2 linked regions of the Oryctolagus cuniculus genome follow. The protein of the gene in region 2 interacts with the protein of the main gene of each other region in a pairwise test. Links are inferred from orthologs where the notes say so. Each region holds a gene or a part of one and is shown on either strand. Other genes may lie near its edges.

The links. The genes of interacting proteins can lie anywhere in the genome.
Region 1: the proteins of DACH1 (region 2) and FGF12 interact in binary tests that used the Homo sapiens proteins (3 or more experiments, as listed by UniProt). The two-hybrid records come from large-scale screens. The link is inferred for Oryctolagus cuniculus from reciprocal best matches to the Homo sapiens genes DACH1 and FGF12.

What each region holds. Positions count from the first base shown.
Region 1 is NC_091435.1:87,004,776-87,012,378, reverse strand, and holds the start of FGF12 (fibroblast growth factor 12), read right to left. Parts: upstream 4,580-7,603; 5' UTR 3,297-4,579; coding exon 3,098-3,296; intron 1-3,097. UniProt on the Homo sapiens protein: Involved in nervous system development and function. Involved in the positive regulation of voltage-gated sodium channel activity. Promotes neuronal excitability by elevating the voltage dependence of neuronal sodium channel SCN8A fast inactivation.
Region 2 is NC_091440.1:40,949,314-40,956,664, reverse strand, and holds the start of DACH1 (dachshund homolog 1), read right to left. Parts: upstream 4,257-7,351; 5' UTR 4,117-4,256; coding exon 3,269-4,116; intron 1-3,268. UniProt on the Homo sapiens protein: Transcription factor that is involved in regulation of organogenesis. Seems to be a regulator of SIX1, SIX6 and probably SIX5.

The sequences.
Region 1 (7,603 bases), on a different chromosome or scaffold from region 2:
GTAAACACTCACACATTCCTAAAATCTATTCCCATGCTTACACAGATGACATCCAGTTTTTCTTCACACCACTTTTTTCTATGTCATATTGCAAAGAGTGCAGACAGAAAACCAACAGATTCTGGTTAGAGTCTTAATTCTGCCACAGTCTCCCTGTATTTCCTCACATAAACCACAATGTTGCTAAGGCGCTAGGATTTCTCATCTGTATTAGCAAGGTTTGTGCAGCAAAACCCCAGGGTACACCACCACTTTATACTCCAGACATGGCATTCATAAACCATCCAATGTGCACGCTGACCCTAGAACTGTGTGGTATAGGTCCTACCAGTTTCCATGGTTTCATTCTGTGTTACCATGATTGTAAACACAGGATATCCACTGTCTGTAAAATTTCAACTTTATACATATCAGAACTCGGCGAGCAAAGGAAAAAAAAAAATTCAAGAGGAAATGCGACAGCCCAGAAATGAGAACTACAATCCTGGCATTCCCCATTGAGTACCTGACTTAGCCTCCCTGGTTCAGCTCGCTCTCTAGAAAGCCTGGTCAATGGAACATGTGTCTCCATGGTAGGAACCCAGAGTGGGAGCTCTTTATCAGGACAATTTACTGCATTTCACTAGTCCACACTTGTGACACAGTTTTCAGTTCCTAACCATATGACTTAGAAAGGCTCGTGGCTTCAGGAATAACTCAAATATTAAGTGAACATCAAAGTGCCTGTATAAAACAGATTCTCTTGAACAGTTTTTCCTTTTGGTATTTAGTAACTTCCTCCAAATCCAGCTGAAGAAACCTCTCTGGAATTAAGACATAGATGGTGCTATCTCTCTATAAATAGGCTCATCTCATGCTATGTGAATCGCAGTTGCTGACAGCAAATCAACAGATTAATTATTTGGCTTTGTTAGTAACGGTAATAGCATACTGCCATCTTCCCAGAAAGCTCTTCTGTACCCCACACTCCCATTCTCCTAAGCTAAGCTTCAGAACAAGCTTTAGTCTGTGGTATACAGGTACAGGCATGGTGTCTCTGCACTGGGAATGTCTTTACAGGTCGTGTGATATCTCTGCCAAATTGTTACCGTGACATTCTAGCTAAATGAAGTCACCAGCCAGGAGTCTCCCAGCCAAGATGAACACTAAATGGATGAAAAACAGAAGCAGAGAAGCAGATTAAATGAACACTGAAGGAAACAATAGACTCAGAAATTCCCTCAATTTCTCAATTTTCTACTGAGATACAAAGCAAAATGCCAGAGGAAACAGTGAATATAATTCCTTCCTTCCCAGGCCAAAGTAAGCCCTGCAAACTGCTCATCTCCAAATCAACTTCATCAAAAAGACTGGGTGAACGCATTTGATCCATTTACAAACGTAACTTGCCCATCATTCCTATTACTTTCTTTCTGGCTGAGGAAGTTGAATAGGAGCAACTCATAAACATGGTAAAATTACCCCTAAACATGGTACAATTATCCCAACCAAAGAACCAGAAAATACTCCAAGGGACTGAGGCGAAAAGTCATACTGAGTTCACAGCCTTGAAGTTCCTTGCGGGCCACACAAGCCCTGAGAGAAGTCCTCCAAATGATCCCTGTGCAGCAAAACAAGGGATTTTATTTCCCCTAACATGAAGGATTGACTGTGCAGAGACAACTATATTTTTTGCATAAATCCTACTTTTATAAAAAGTCTATATTAATTAGATGTAAAATGACAGAGACTTTACTAGCTTCCCTCTTGAAATCATACTTATTTTTGTTTACCCCTAAAATACACTACTTTATATCTTCACAGAATTAGAAAATGACCCCCACTGAGGGCTGAAAAAAGGCTACAAAAACCCAATGGAAACTGAAACAAGAAATTGGTTTCTTCACAACGCTTATTCCCAAATTTCTAAGCTGATCCAGAATCTCTCTTGCCCAGACTTCCCACTGTGCTTTCCTCAGCCCCAATGAACCTAGTCCTAGTGCCTCATTCCTGGAGCCCAGGACACCCAGCAGCAAACTGAGTAACTTAAATGCATTGACTGATCACAGAACAGACTTGCTTTCTAGACAGTGTTTCCTTCCAGGTGTCCACAGTAAATGGAAAGTATCTGCAGATTGCAAATGACCCTGCAGCCACTCCCAGAGGATCAATAGCCAGAAGAATCACAGATCTTGGCAATTCTGCCTTCATTCTTTTAGGCTGGGAATTATCACAGTGAAAGCCAAGGCATCCAATGACCCTTTGCACAAAGAGCAACCAATTTTAAGGCCACTGAAGAAAATCAGCTTCAGAAATGGCCAGGCCATCAAAATCCCTGCTAAGTCTGAAGTTCCCTTTACACCTGCTGAGGTCAAACTTCAAATACCATCTTGTTCCCTGAAAGTCTCCAAAGGAAAGGGAAGTACAGAGAAGATGGTAACAGGACAGAGGAGCTGGCAAGCAGTGGTGGCAAGAGAATGGGAATAAAGGCACGAGGTAAAAGGCAGTGAAAGATCATGTGAGAAAACAGAGGTGAGAAATTAACTGGAATGCCTGAACGATGCAGCACCATGTGTTGCTGGTGGAAGAGTTAGACAGACAATACATTTAAGTTCATCTGGAGTCTGACAAGTGTCTACCCTGCACTGTTATCAGACACATGGTCTTTTGGTCCTCAGGGCAGCACAAGTATCCTATGGATAAATGGATGGATGGATAGATGCATGATAGATGGATGGGAAAGAGAGAGGGAGAGTTGAGAGACAGACAATGAAGGAATGAATGAATGAGATGAGATGGTCAGTGTCCTCGAGGGTGCAAGCTATTTGAGATTAGGTGCCTCTGCACAGGAACTCTCTCTCACCCTGGTCAAACCACAGATTGATCAAAGCACAAAGTGTTTTTTCTTTTCTTTTCTTTTTTAAATGAATTTGGGACAAGAAACTATTAACTGGCAAAGGATGGTTCAAAGAAAGCTGTCTGGAAATGAGGGAAGAAGGGTCAGAATGCAAGAGGGATCCCCCTGGTTCCCTGCCATGGGCAGCTGTAGTCGCAGTGAGGAAGGGGGAAGAGAGGGGTGTCTGCCTCCGGGGAGCCCACTGTCCGGGCTTCTACTGACCTGGTCTCCGCCTCACTGGCCTCTTGCGGCCGCTGCAGAAGCGCACTTTGCTGAACACCCCGAGGACGTGCCTCTCGCACAGGGAGCGCCCGTCTTTGCTGGGGCTGGAGCGGCGTTTGGAGGCCGACACCCGGTCGCTGTTGGACTCCCTTGCCTGCCGCTTCTGCCGTATCAAGGAGCTTGCTATCGCAGCAGCCATAGCTGCTCAGCGCGGGCCCCAGGCCCGGACTCCACTGCGCCCTCGGGATCGCGCTCCGCCGGGGCGAGGGCAGGACCTCGGTGCCCGGGAGGGACAGGGCAGGCGCGGGGAGGCAGTGCTAATATTTGAGGAGGCCGCAGCACCGAAAACCCAGCGCCCACAAGGTTAGTCAGAGTCTGGGCAGTGGCGACAGAAGGTGTGACAATCCAGATGTAAACTTCCCCGACCGCTGGCGGCGGGGGCGGGGCGGTCCCAGGCCTTCCTGCGAAGTAGACGTTTGCACCCCAAACTTGGCGCCCCTCGGCGATCCACGTCCAAGGGGCAGTGGGGAGTTTGGTCACACTGCGTTCGGGGTAGCAAGTGGAAGGGGAAGAAGGATGTCCAAAATGACAAGCCCTGCCCCTGTTGGAGAGGCGCAAGCGTTGCAAGGTGTCCGAAGTATATTTACACATATATAGGAAAGAAACCCTTTTACATAGCAGAGTCTGGACCGAGGCGGGTAGCGTGCCCCCGGTTGGTTGAAAATACCAAAAAGTGCATAAAGCGTTCCTCTAGAAAACAAGCCACCAACCGCAGGAGAGAAGGAGAGGAAGGCAGCAATTTAACTCCCTGCGGCCCGCAGGTCTGGAGACTAGGAGGTCCGTCCCGGCGGGGTGAGGCCGTCTACCGGATGCATCGCGCCGGCTGCGGTGCTCCGGCGCCGGCCGCCCGAGCTCTGGAATCCCGAGAGGCGCCAAGTGGGAGCGGCCAGTGGGTCTGGGGAGGGGCGCGGGACGCGGGCAGCTGTGGCCGGCGGAGGAGCGCGCGCCTCGCCGCCAGTAGCACTGCAAAGGGAGCGGGCGGCGAGGAGGGGGATGGAAGGGGAGGAGGGAGATCCTCGAGGGCCAAGCAACCCTCGGGGAGAAGCGCGCGACAGGCGATCCGTGGGGTCCCAGGAGCGGGCGCTCTTTCGCTTTCCGCTTGCTTTCCGGCACGAGACGGGCACAGTTGGTGATTATTTAGGGAATCCTAAATCTGGAATGACTCAGTCGTTTAAATGAGCCCCCTCCAAGGCAGCGATGCCGAAGGTGTCCTCTCCAGCTCGGCGCCCACACGCCTTTAACTGGAGCTCCCCGCCATGGTCCGCCCGGGGCGCCGCACCAAGCAGGTCTCCGCACAGGCTCAGAGGGAGCGAAGCAGGGAGGGAGGGAGGGTGGGAAGGAGGGGGCGCCGTGGCGGGCTCGGGATCAGGTCATCGCCGCGCTGCCCGGGCCCCCAGGCTCGCGCGCCCCGGTAGTCGGCAGCTCACTAGCAGAGATCAGATGGGAATTACCCGCCCGATGCGATGCCGATCACTCAGTCCCGCGCGGCCCATCCCGGCCGAGGAAGGAAGTGACCCGCGCGCTGCGAACACCCGCGCGGCTGCTGGGGTGGGGCGGGGGCTGGCTGAGGGCGACGTCGGCTCTCGGCGGCTGCGGCTCCGGTCCGGAGCTGCCCACCATTGTCAGGTGCGCGGGGCGCAGGCTGGGCCCCTAGGCCGCCCAGGGCAACGGCGGGAGGCTGCCGAGCGCGCCACCAGGGTCCTCAGGGGCGGGCGCTGACTCTGGGGCCCCGGCCAGAAGGCAGGTGCAGGCGGCCGCCAACTCGCCCAACTTGCTACGCGGGTGGCCGCTCAGAACCGCCGGCTTACAAGGCGCCCCCCGCCGTCGCCGCCGCCGCCGCCGTCGCCTCCCCAGATCCGGGAGGGGGCGCTCAGGGCGGAGTCCCATTCATGGGCTGGGGCTCTGTGCGCCCGGAGCCGCACCGGCTCCCGGGCGCCGCCGCCGCCGCCGCCGCCGTCGCCCCACCGGCTAGTTCGGCAGGAGAGCTAGCTTCGCAGGAAACTCCAGGCGGGAGCCACAAGCTACCAAGACGGCGGGTGGGACAAAAGGTCGGCGCAGCCGGAGTTGCCCCTGCACTGCTCTCCCGCCCGCGGGAAATCGGGAGAGCGCCTAGGTGGGGCTGAGCTGGAGGCTGGGCTCCCGGAGTGCAGGGAAGCGCAGCGCATTGGGATCCGGCTCTCTTCCCTCGCGCCCTCTGCTCCCAGACTCCTTCTCCCCATTCCCTCTGGTCACCCCTCTCCCCCTTCTCTGTCTTCTGTCTCTCCCCTTTTCTCCTCTCTACGCAATCCTACGTGATTGAGGTTTGGATGAGAAATTCTCAGAGGCAGAGCAAGGGAACTGCAGCTCGGGTCTGCTCCGTCTGATCCCTCCCCGAAGAGAAAAACACCACTGGTGGGTTCAAGGCCCCTGGTGCGCGGAGAAGGAGTTAGGGAAAGAGGCAAAGCGCCTTCTCACCAATTAGCTGGAGCACGGCGAATTCTCTGTTTAGGAAGAAAGGAAGTGGTCGCTGGCCCAAGTGACAACGGCCTCTAGGGCCCTCTTATTGAGCCCCCAATTCTGCTCATTGTGTAACATGGAAAGAGTTTCCTCTCCTTACAACCCAGATTCCTACTCAGTCCCTAAAAGAAGGCTCAAGGAGCAACCCTAGCTGGGGTTAATGGAAGGGGCTAAGGGAATGACTGTGGAGTGCCACCAGGTTTCCAGGAGTTTGTGACAGCAGCTGAAACAGAGGAGTCATCCACACTCAATGCAGCCTGAGAGATTACGGACTGGCAGGGGTACTCACCTTTCATTCCAGGCAAGGTCTGGGAGTGGCCTTGGGTTAGACTTAGCTGTCTCTTCCACCCCCTCCAGATACCCGCAATCCCAACCCCCTCACAGACTCTGCTCTAGGCACTCATGGCAGTGCCAAAGCGTTAAGTGGATGGTTTCCAAGCACAGACAGGTGCATGCAAGAAAAACACAGGAAGCTACTGGGGAAGGCAGGGAAGCCAGGAACTGCAGATGCCAGCACAAGCCCTTTGGGCCTAGGATTGACTTGATTAATAAGGATTGAGGTCAGCAAGGTTATCTAAACCAAACATTAACTCTAACAGTTCTACTTTGTCTTATGATTCAGGGCCAGGGCCTTCCAGAATATCAGCTGGGCAAAATGGGCTAGCAGATACAGGCTCATGCAACAGAGGACAACAGGAAGTGCAAGACACCCTGAGAAAGTGGGGAATCCCCACTGTCAGCAGGGAGCAGTTCAGTGTGACTAAATGAGGACAGTGAACTTATCTTTGGGAGTCTAACATACACAACACGACAGGTTACAAAAATACACATACACCTCTCCTCCAACAGTGAAGCTGAATCCATTTTCAACAATCCGGAATGGGGTCAGGAAAATCGCTTATTGGTAACACTATCAATTAGGGAAATGTTCACATTCTACAAATAAAAGTTTTTTCCTTTCTTGGCTATCAGAAGATTTGTCTCATTCTTGAGAAAGGCAGGGACAGATAGTGCTGGCTAGCTTCAGGAGCTCCCTGTCTTTTGCAATTCAGTGCCCAAACAGGGGTGGGGGTGGGGGTGGGGGGCAGGGTGGGGAGGAAGGGGGTCAGCTAAGGGGAGTACCCAGAGAAACAGGCAAGATGAGGGTGTATAATGAGGCCTTGAGGAAATCATTGCTAAACTGGGAGCCTCTTTTTTATCCTCAAAATGGGGATAATCATCCCCATCTACCTCATAGAACTGAATATGCATGTGTAAGCATTTTAAAAACTGGAAAATGCCAAGTGCATAAAAGAGATGATGACAGTGTTTATTATTTTTTAAAGAAAATGTGTGAGGTTCACCTGGTGCTCAGATTCCTAAAGCTCTCTCAAAACGCAAAGCAAAAATGTCTATGGTTACTGCTCTATTATCTGAATTTTAAGTCCTCCAGGTATCCAAGTTTGAAAGCTTAACATATATTTCAACCATGCTTACACATTCACATATACATATATATATACATATATATATATGCAGTATATATTTATGCATTGTAGATAAAACTAGAAGAGAAAAGTAAACTGGCACATTTCCCAAAATTGCAGTTCTGTGCCCAGAAAAGGCCTGGAAAGAAGATGTGTGTTCTCTAATCTTTCAGTGTTGCTTTCTTTTTTTTTTTCTCTGTAACCCTAAGAGAAATTAGGATGGTGAGATATAGAAGATAACAAATACAAAGTCATAGAGTCACAGAAATGAAGGAGGTAACAAGGGAAGAGATGAAAAGGCAACTAACAGTTGCTGTCTGAAGTTGTCTTGACATGACAAAATCATGTTAGGCATTTAAAGAACAAAAACAAAAAGCAATCAATGCTAGTGTTCTGAGAGTGATATTATTTCTGTCTTTAGATCTCTATTAAAGGAGTGTGGTGTTTTGGATTTGATCAGACAGCTCCTTTTGTTCCTTGCACT
Region 2 (7,351 bases):
AACATTTATTCTAGTTTTCATAGATAGCATACTAATGCAATAGCCCCAAGCAAATTAAATTCACTCTAAGCTTTCTACTAACTTACTGAGCCACTTTGAGCAAGTTTTTGAATGCATCATTTTGGTTCCTCAGAGTTCCTGGTATCTAAATTCTATTAAGAGACATAATGATATACGTTCTATAACAAGCTGAGAGTGCTAAGATTTGATTTCTCAATCTCTCTCTCTCTCTTTCTCTCTCTCTCTCTCTCTCACACACACACACACACACACACTCACACGGCGTGCGCGCGCGCGCCAATACACTTGCTCTCCCCCACACATAAAATATATATATTTTACAGTTTGCCTTCTTGTGTAGTTCCTCTTATATTATGCACAAATTATCCCCCTATTGTATTAAGTAGCTAGAGAAGAAAGGCACCAAAGTGAAAGAAATCAATATATCTAGATGAGTTAAAGAGGATTTTAAAAGCGAAGTCTGGGATGTAGAAGGTAATTTTAGCTTTAGTAAAGTCAGGAAGGAAAACATTAATACCATTTTTAAAGTAAAGAAGTAAGACAATAACACTCGTAATTAGCATGAAAATAATAATGCATTACAATACAAACAGTATAATTTGGTGAAAGTTCAATTATAAATTCTCTATTTCCTTAGTCCGTGGCAGAGTTAGGATAACCTAGGTATGCATCTGCAACTGCACATCTCCTCATGTTAATGGCAACAACACTGGTGGGTATTTCAGGTTGAGCAAGCTTTTTAGTTGATAAACGATCAAAATTCACTAGAATATCAACAAACTGTCAACATTTAGCTTAAAAACAACCTGAAATAGGATTTTAGAACAACACATTTAATTGCAAAGTATCAAGGCCAGGTGGTTGAAACACAATTATAGTAGAGAGGAGATAGTTTTGAAAGGATAAAGAGTTCCACTGGATTTAACTTATCTTGGCCCTGCAAGACGCCAGTGCTATTGTTAAACTGGTGAGGTGGGAGGAAACTTTTAAAAAATTTTTGGTTACTAACTCTTAAAGTATATTCTTCAGCCATATGACAAGGACTTCAAAATCTGGGCGAAATTTCAGTAAATAAAGAGGATCAAGTTATGGATAGGTTAGAATACAATTACTGGAAAATGTTTTCTTGAGCAATTGTGTGTGTGTGTCTGTGTGTGTAAAATGGCCATTGATTACCTACAGCAGTGTGTGCTGTAGGAAGCACACAAAGAGGATTCGGAATGGAGTGGCTGTCTACTTAATGACAGTAGCATAGCACTTCACCAATCTGCGGAACAGGCAGACAGTTTTCGAACAATCGTTATCTGAGCGGACTTCAAATTTCACCTAGCATTTTTCCTAACAACTCCAGGATACTTTTCTTCCCTGATTCAAATGTTTCAACAGTAGATTGGAGGCCAATGGTGTATCATCTGGACGAGCAAGGACACCAATTATCCAGTAAATGATGGTGAGAGATCTTGATCCTGCCGCTCCATCTCTACTGCCACCTGTCCATTCCCTTGGACACGCTCGCACGCATGCACACCACACACACACACACACACACACACACACACAGCATCTATCCCAAAATAAAAGAATGTCCAAAAAAAAAAAACAGGCACACAATGATGTCCTATGGAGAGAATGGCAAATAAACGAGGAACAGAATTTCTGGATAGGACAGGAGAGGACATTTGCTGGGTTAGAACTCGAGTCCTTTTCGGTTTACACCCTTCTCCGCTGTTCAGCAGTCTCTCCAAGGCAGAGATAACCAGCGGCTCTCCCACCCACGAGGCGTCCCGGTCTCGCCCTACACCTCCTTCCTCCCCACCTGAGTTCCCCAGCTCTGCCAGGAATGCACACACCACCCCGCTCCCTCATTCACTCTGCAAACTTAGTGGGAGGGTACCGAAGTTTTCTGCGCAAATGTAGCGCCGAGCTCCCACGTGCCCGTTTCAGATCCCCAACTTTCCCTAGGTGCTTGCTCTCGGAATCAGAACTTTTCCCCCTGCTCTTCCCTGAGACGAATGATAGGGACGAAGCGCAACTGTGAGAGGGGGTGAAACGGTCGCCTCTACCCCGAAACGGACAAGCTGCCCCTCTCCCGCCCCCTCTCGGTGGATCCTCCCCCACCGCGCGTTCATTTGCATAAAACTGGCCCGGCCGGGGACCGGCCGCGCGGCCTCCACCCTGCGCGCTCCGCGCGGGGCTGAGGAAGCCACAGCCCAGACAAGTCAGGCCCGCAGAGCATCCTAGTGCAAAGCGTGCACCTGCTCGTTGCGTGAGCTACTAACCTTAAGAAAAAAAGAAAACAAAGAATTGAAAACACACAAGCGCGCGCGCACACACACTTTAGAGAAGGAGAGAAAAGGGAGAGTGTGCGCGAGCCCCGGGATCTTCCTCCGGTCTCCAGGTCAGCTTCCAGGTCTCCAGCACCCGGCTACCTCTCCTTACAGACGGAAATCTGCGGGTGCTCTCGCATCTGCCCCGGGGCAAACGCACTCCTTTCTTTCCTTTGCACACGCACCCTCACACGCGGACACACGCACACATGCGCACACACACACACACACAGACCCCTCCCCTCGGCGGGCTTCCACCTCTGGGCTTCGGGGCTCAACTCCCTGCGGGTCCCCCGGGACTGCGCCGGGCCTCTCTCCCTCGAGGTCGACCCCCCTTCTGACCTCCAAGTGCCCCTGCTGCACTGCTGGCCCACTCCCTCGGCTTCCCAACGGGCCCCTCACCCGGAGCGCGTCTCCCCGCTCTCCAAACCCTGCGGGTCAGGGTCACGAGCTCTTCCCGCTCCCGGGACGCCCCTGGGTGCGGTGGAGCAGCCCCGTGGGTGCAGGGAGCAGGGCCGTGCAACACCGGTCCCTAGGCTCGCACCCGCGGGCAGCAGCGTCCAGGGGGTCCCCCGACGCCGGAGCCCCAAGAAAGGGGCTGTGGCTCCTGGAAAGGCACTGTCCTGCTCCTTCCCGCCCCCTCCACCCTCAGGGTTGGGGTCCCCGCGGTCCCACAGCAGCTAAGCTCCGGTCCCCGGGCTAGCCAGGAACCTATCGGCCGGAAGAGCGAGGTCGAGGCAACTTCTCCGGGGGTCGGCCGCTGCCGGAGAGCCCTGAGGAAGGGGAGGAGAGGCCCGCGCTCGCTGAGGCGCGCGGCTCGCGGGCGCGCGGGGCGGCCAGCGCCCGGAAGGGAGCGAGGGAAGGGCGAGGAGGCCGGTGGGAAGGGGCCGCGGGCCTCAGGGGCCACCCCCGCTCCTTACCTGGCATTGGTGCAGTCATTGTAGAGGGTCTCGAAGTCCTTCCTGGAGATGAGTTTGCAGCGGTTCACTCCGGGCTGGATGGCGCCCAGTCCCCTCAGGATGCGAACCTGTTCCACATTGCACACCACCGGCGTGATCTCCAACCGCTTCAGCTTGGTGTAGACCGTGTGCAAGCCCCCCACCAAGTGCTTCAGGAACAGGTCGAAAGCCTGGGGCAGGCAGATCAGCTCGCAGCCCTCCACGGTGAAGGAAGCCACTTTGGCCCCCCTCAGATCCACCATTTTGCACTCATTATTCTGGGGGGTGTTTTCCACTGGGGACGGGGTTGAGTACACGGGTTTCCCGGGGAGGGGGCCGCAGCTGCTGCCGCTGCTGCTGCTGCTGCTGCTACTGCTGCTGCTGCTGCTGCTGCTGCTGCTACTGCTGCTGCTGCCGCTGCCGGTGCTCGCGTTGATGGGGGTGCTGGAGGCGCCGCCGCCGCCAGCGCCAATGCCGCCGCCGCCGCTGCCGCCGCCGCTCGCGGCTGCCAGGCTGGGGTTGCAGTTGCCGCCGCCGCCGCCGCCTCCGTTGCCGCCGCCGCTGCCACCGCCGCCTCCGCTGCCGCCGCCGCCGCCGCCGCCACCGCCGGTAGAGGTGACTGTGGCCGCCGCCGCCGCCGCCGCCGAAGCGATGGGCTCCGGCCGGAACAGAGTTGGCCCAGAGGGCGCCGGGGGTCCGATGGACGGAGCCGGAGACGAGGTCGCCGAGGAGGTGGAGGTTGTGGTGCCAGAGGAGGAAGCAGACGTGGAGATCGGGGGCTGAGGGGGGACCAGCTGGGTCGGAGGGATCAAAGCCGCCGGCACTGCCATGGTCACATATACGGGGGAAAAGGGAAGGAGGAGAAGCGAGGGGGGAAAAGTTGCCACACAGCCCCGGGAGGGGACGGGGAGACGAGCGGGAGCGGGAGCGGGGGTGGGGGCGGCGACCCTTGCAACTCCGGGCGAGCAGGCGAGGGAGCGAGGGAGCGAGACGCGGGAAGCAGCGAGCGCGAGCGGCGCTCCGCCGAGAGGCGCACCAAAGTGTCCCGCGAGTCGAACGGCGAGCGCTCTCCGGGGGCCGGCAGCGAGGCCGGCCGCGGGGGGACGGGCGGGGGCGGGGAGGGCCGGCCGCCGAGGTGTGGGTCCCGCTCTAGCACAGAGGGAAGGGTGAAGGTGAAGAGGAGGAGGACTGAGGGACTCGGGTTCTCCCCGGCAAGTACATTGATCAAAGATTGAGAGCGGAATGACAGAGAGAAAATGAGCTGAAAAGTGCAGGCTGCCGGCTGGACGAGTTGTTGTTGTCACACGGTGCAGAGGGGAGGAGCTCCGGAAACTTGAAATACCCTTTGAAGCCGCAAAAACCTCACTCACTAGTATTAACCCAAATTATCCAACCAGGAACTCGCAGCGGAGACTCGCGGAGCGCGCGAGACGGAGAGGGAGAGGGGAGCGTGCGAGGGAGAGGAGGAGGGGGCAGAGGGAAGCGACCGCGGGGGGACGGGCAGGGGCGGCCGGGGGCGCCGGACAGCGCTCTGCGGCCCCGGCCCGGCCAGCGCACAGCCCTTGCCCTCTCTGGTCCGCCCCAACTCGCCCTGCCCCCCTCACACACCCCCACACCTACACCCACACACACCACCCCTCCCCAAAGCTTCCAGGCAACTTAGCGAGGAGCCAGAGCGCTCAGAGTTCCCCTTCGAGGATTTAGGACGCGTCTCCGCGCGTCTGGGCGAGGAGACCGGAGCGACAAGCCAGCCCCGCTCCGTGATTAGTAAGGAATTACGCTGAGAAAAAGACTCGCACGGAAGCCAAGAGTCGTATTTTTTTGGGCATCCGACTGTTTTGATCTCCTTGTGGAAAGTATTTATTTCTCCGAAGACAGTGACCATTCCAGGAGAGTTTTTTCCAAGTTGTGGGAACAAAGTGGGTCCGAAATGGCTTCAGGATCGTGGGCTGCTCTGTATTGGATTCCGTATTGCCTAATAGGTTTGTGGAGAGAAATTTCTTGCCACGAGGTAGAAGATTTACAATAAGTTCACTTTTCGCCCCCAAAAGCGGGTCAGAAACGTCTGTTTTGCCCAGAGAACTCAGAAACGCAGCACTTTTGAAGACTGAGAAAGTGGTAAACAAGAACACTGATTTTTCTAACCCCAAACTCTGTAATTAATTCACCTGTCTCGCACAGTAACCGACTGCGCTGGTATCCTTTAAGAGACATTAAGGCTGGTTGCTCAGTGCGAATGTGTCGTTTCAATAACACAGTAGTTATATTTTTTTCATATTAGAAAAGCACCACTGTATTTTGGAAAAGTCCTTTTCTGTTTGTCAGTGCAAATGTGTTGTGTAAATAATGAGAACAAAAAGAAAGCACACCAGTTGACTTGCAAAAGTAGAGAGGGTGGCTATGTTTAAAAACAACATTAGGCTGTTTAGACTGCCTCTCTTCCTCCTTTCCTTCCTGTCCCCTCTTCTAACTTGTTGCATGGAAGTATTTATTCCAGAATTCTTGACCAAGATAGGATTTGAGCAGAGGTCAAGTCTGTTTGCTGCTTATATCTCTAGGAATCTTAAAATAGTTAGGCTTCGAACCTGTCTGTACACGTTCAGTGACTTCACGAGATGTGAAGCAATGCTGGAGCATCTGACAGATTTTTAAAAACAAACTGTTAGTGGCAGGTTCACAGTGTTGGGAAATTTCATAATGAAAATTTCTGCCATTTGGGTGTTGAAATGATGATTACGTTTCTCTTTATCATTTTAATCCTGTAAAGTCTTTGATGTTTAGTGTCAAAAGGTGCAGGAACTATCTACAGAGAAAAATGACACTATTGGCTAATTAGTCTAAGTTTACGCTATACTTTCTGGGGCACAGCAGTTCTATTAGGAGGCTTTCTTGAGTTGTACCGCTCAGAAAATTGCTGCTGAATAATAGACAAACTTAGGATAGCTCATGTTTGCACAATTGTTTGGCCTAGTTAGCCAATGTATTTTAATATCATCAGAAATAACTTCTAACTTTTCTTCAGCCTTCAAATCTGTCCACAACTAAAAGTGGGGATTCAATGTATATCACACACATGAAAACACTTCAAGTGTTTAAGCAAGTCTTAGAAAGTGATACCTTTTAAAACGAAGTGCCGAATCAGTATGGGAGAAGGTAAGAGGAAAGTATTAAGCCCAGAAAAAGCTAACTGTATTTTGGAAATGCATGCCTAGCTTCCATAAATCCTGACTTGATTTTAAAACACTAGACAAAATATCATCATTTTCAATTCTAGACCCACAAATGAAAAAAAAAAAAAGAAAATGGGAATTAAATGCCCCAAATCTGCCCTTACCATTCTCACTTCTCACATTTCCTTAACCTATCACTCACCCAATACCCATCACATTCAGAAGCCACAGACAGGAAGCAATGCTAACAGACTAAGCCATAATTCCACTCTGCTTCGACGCCAACTCTCAATTTTCTACTGCAGGGAAACCTGCATCTTGGAGCACGTGCTCCACTCAGAAGCAGGGCTTGGGGGCATTTGACCTTACTTGAATGGGAGCTTTCTGGGATTCAGGTCTCTAAACCATTTCAAGGAACCACCACTTACCCCTTTGATCAAACAATAGGATTAGAAAAAGCGTATAATGCAAATTAAAATATCTAGGAAAGAAAAGCCTTGAAAGATGTTAAGGTTCTCTTTCTCTCTCTCTCTCTCTCTCTCTCTCTCTCTCGCTCTCGCTCTCTCTCCCCCCCCTTCCCATCTCTCTTCTTCTCCCCCACCCCATTGAGAAATGTTGCTCATGATTAAGGCAAACAGTTTTTACCAATAACAGATAAATCAATTTCAGAGAAATTTCAAATGCTCACTCTGTTGCATCTTTAGCTTTCAGAGCTTTTGTCTTGTTTGTTTATTGTTTTCCATCTCTGGTTGTTTCAGGTCCTCTTTCTCCATCTAGTCTTCCCCAACCTTCACTCAATTTGCATAAGTAAAACTCAAAGTACTGTAACTGATATTAGAAAATTCTCCCTGTGTTTTGTGAAGACGTATTGTGCTGAAATCAATAAGACTGTTTA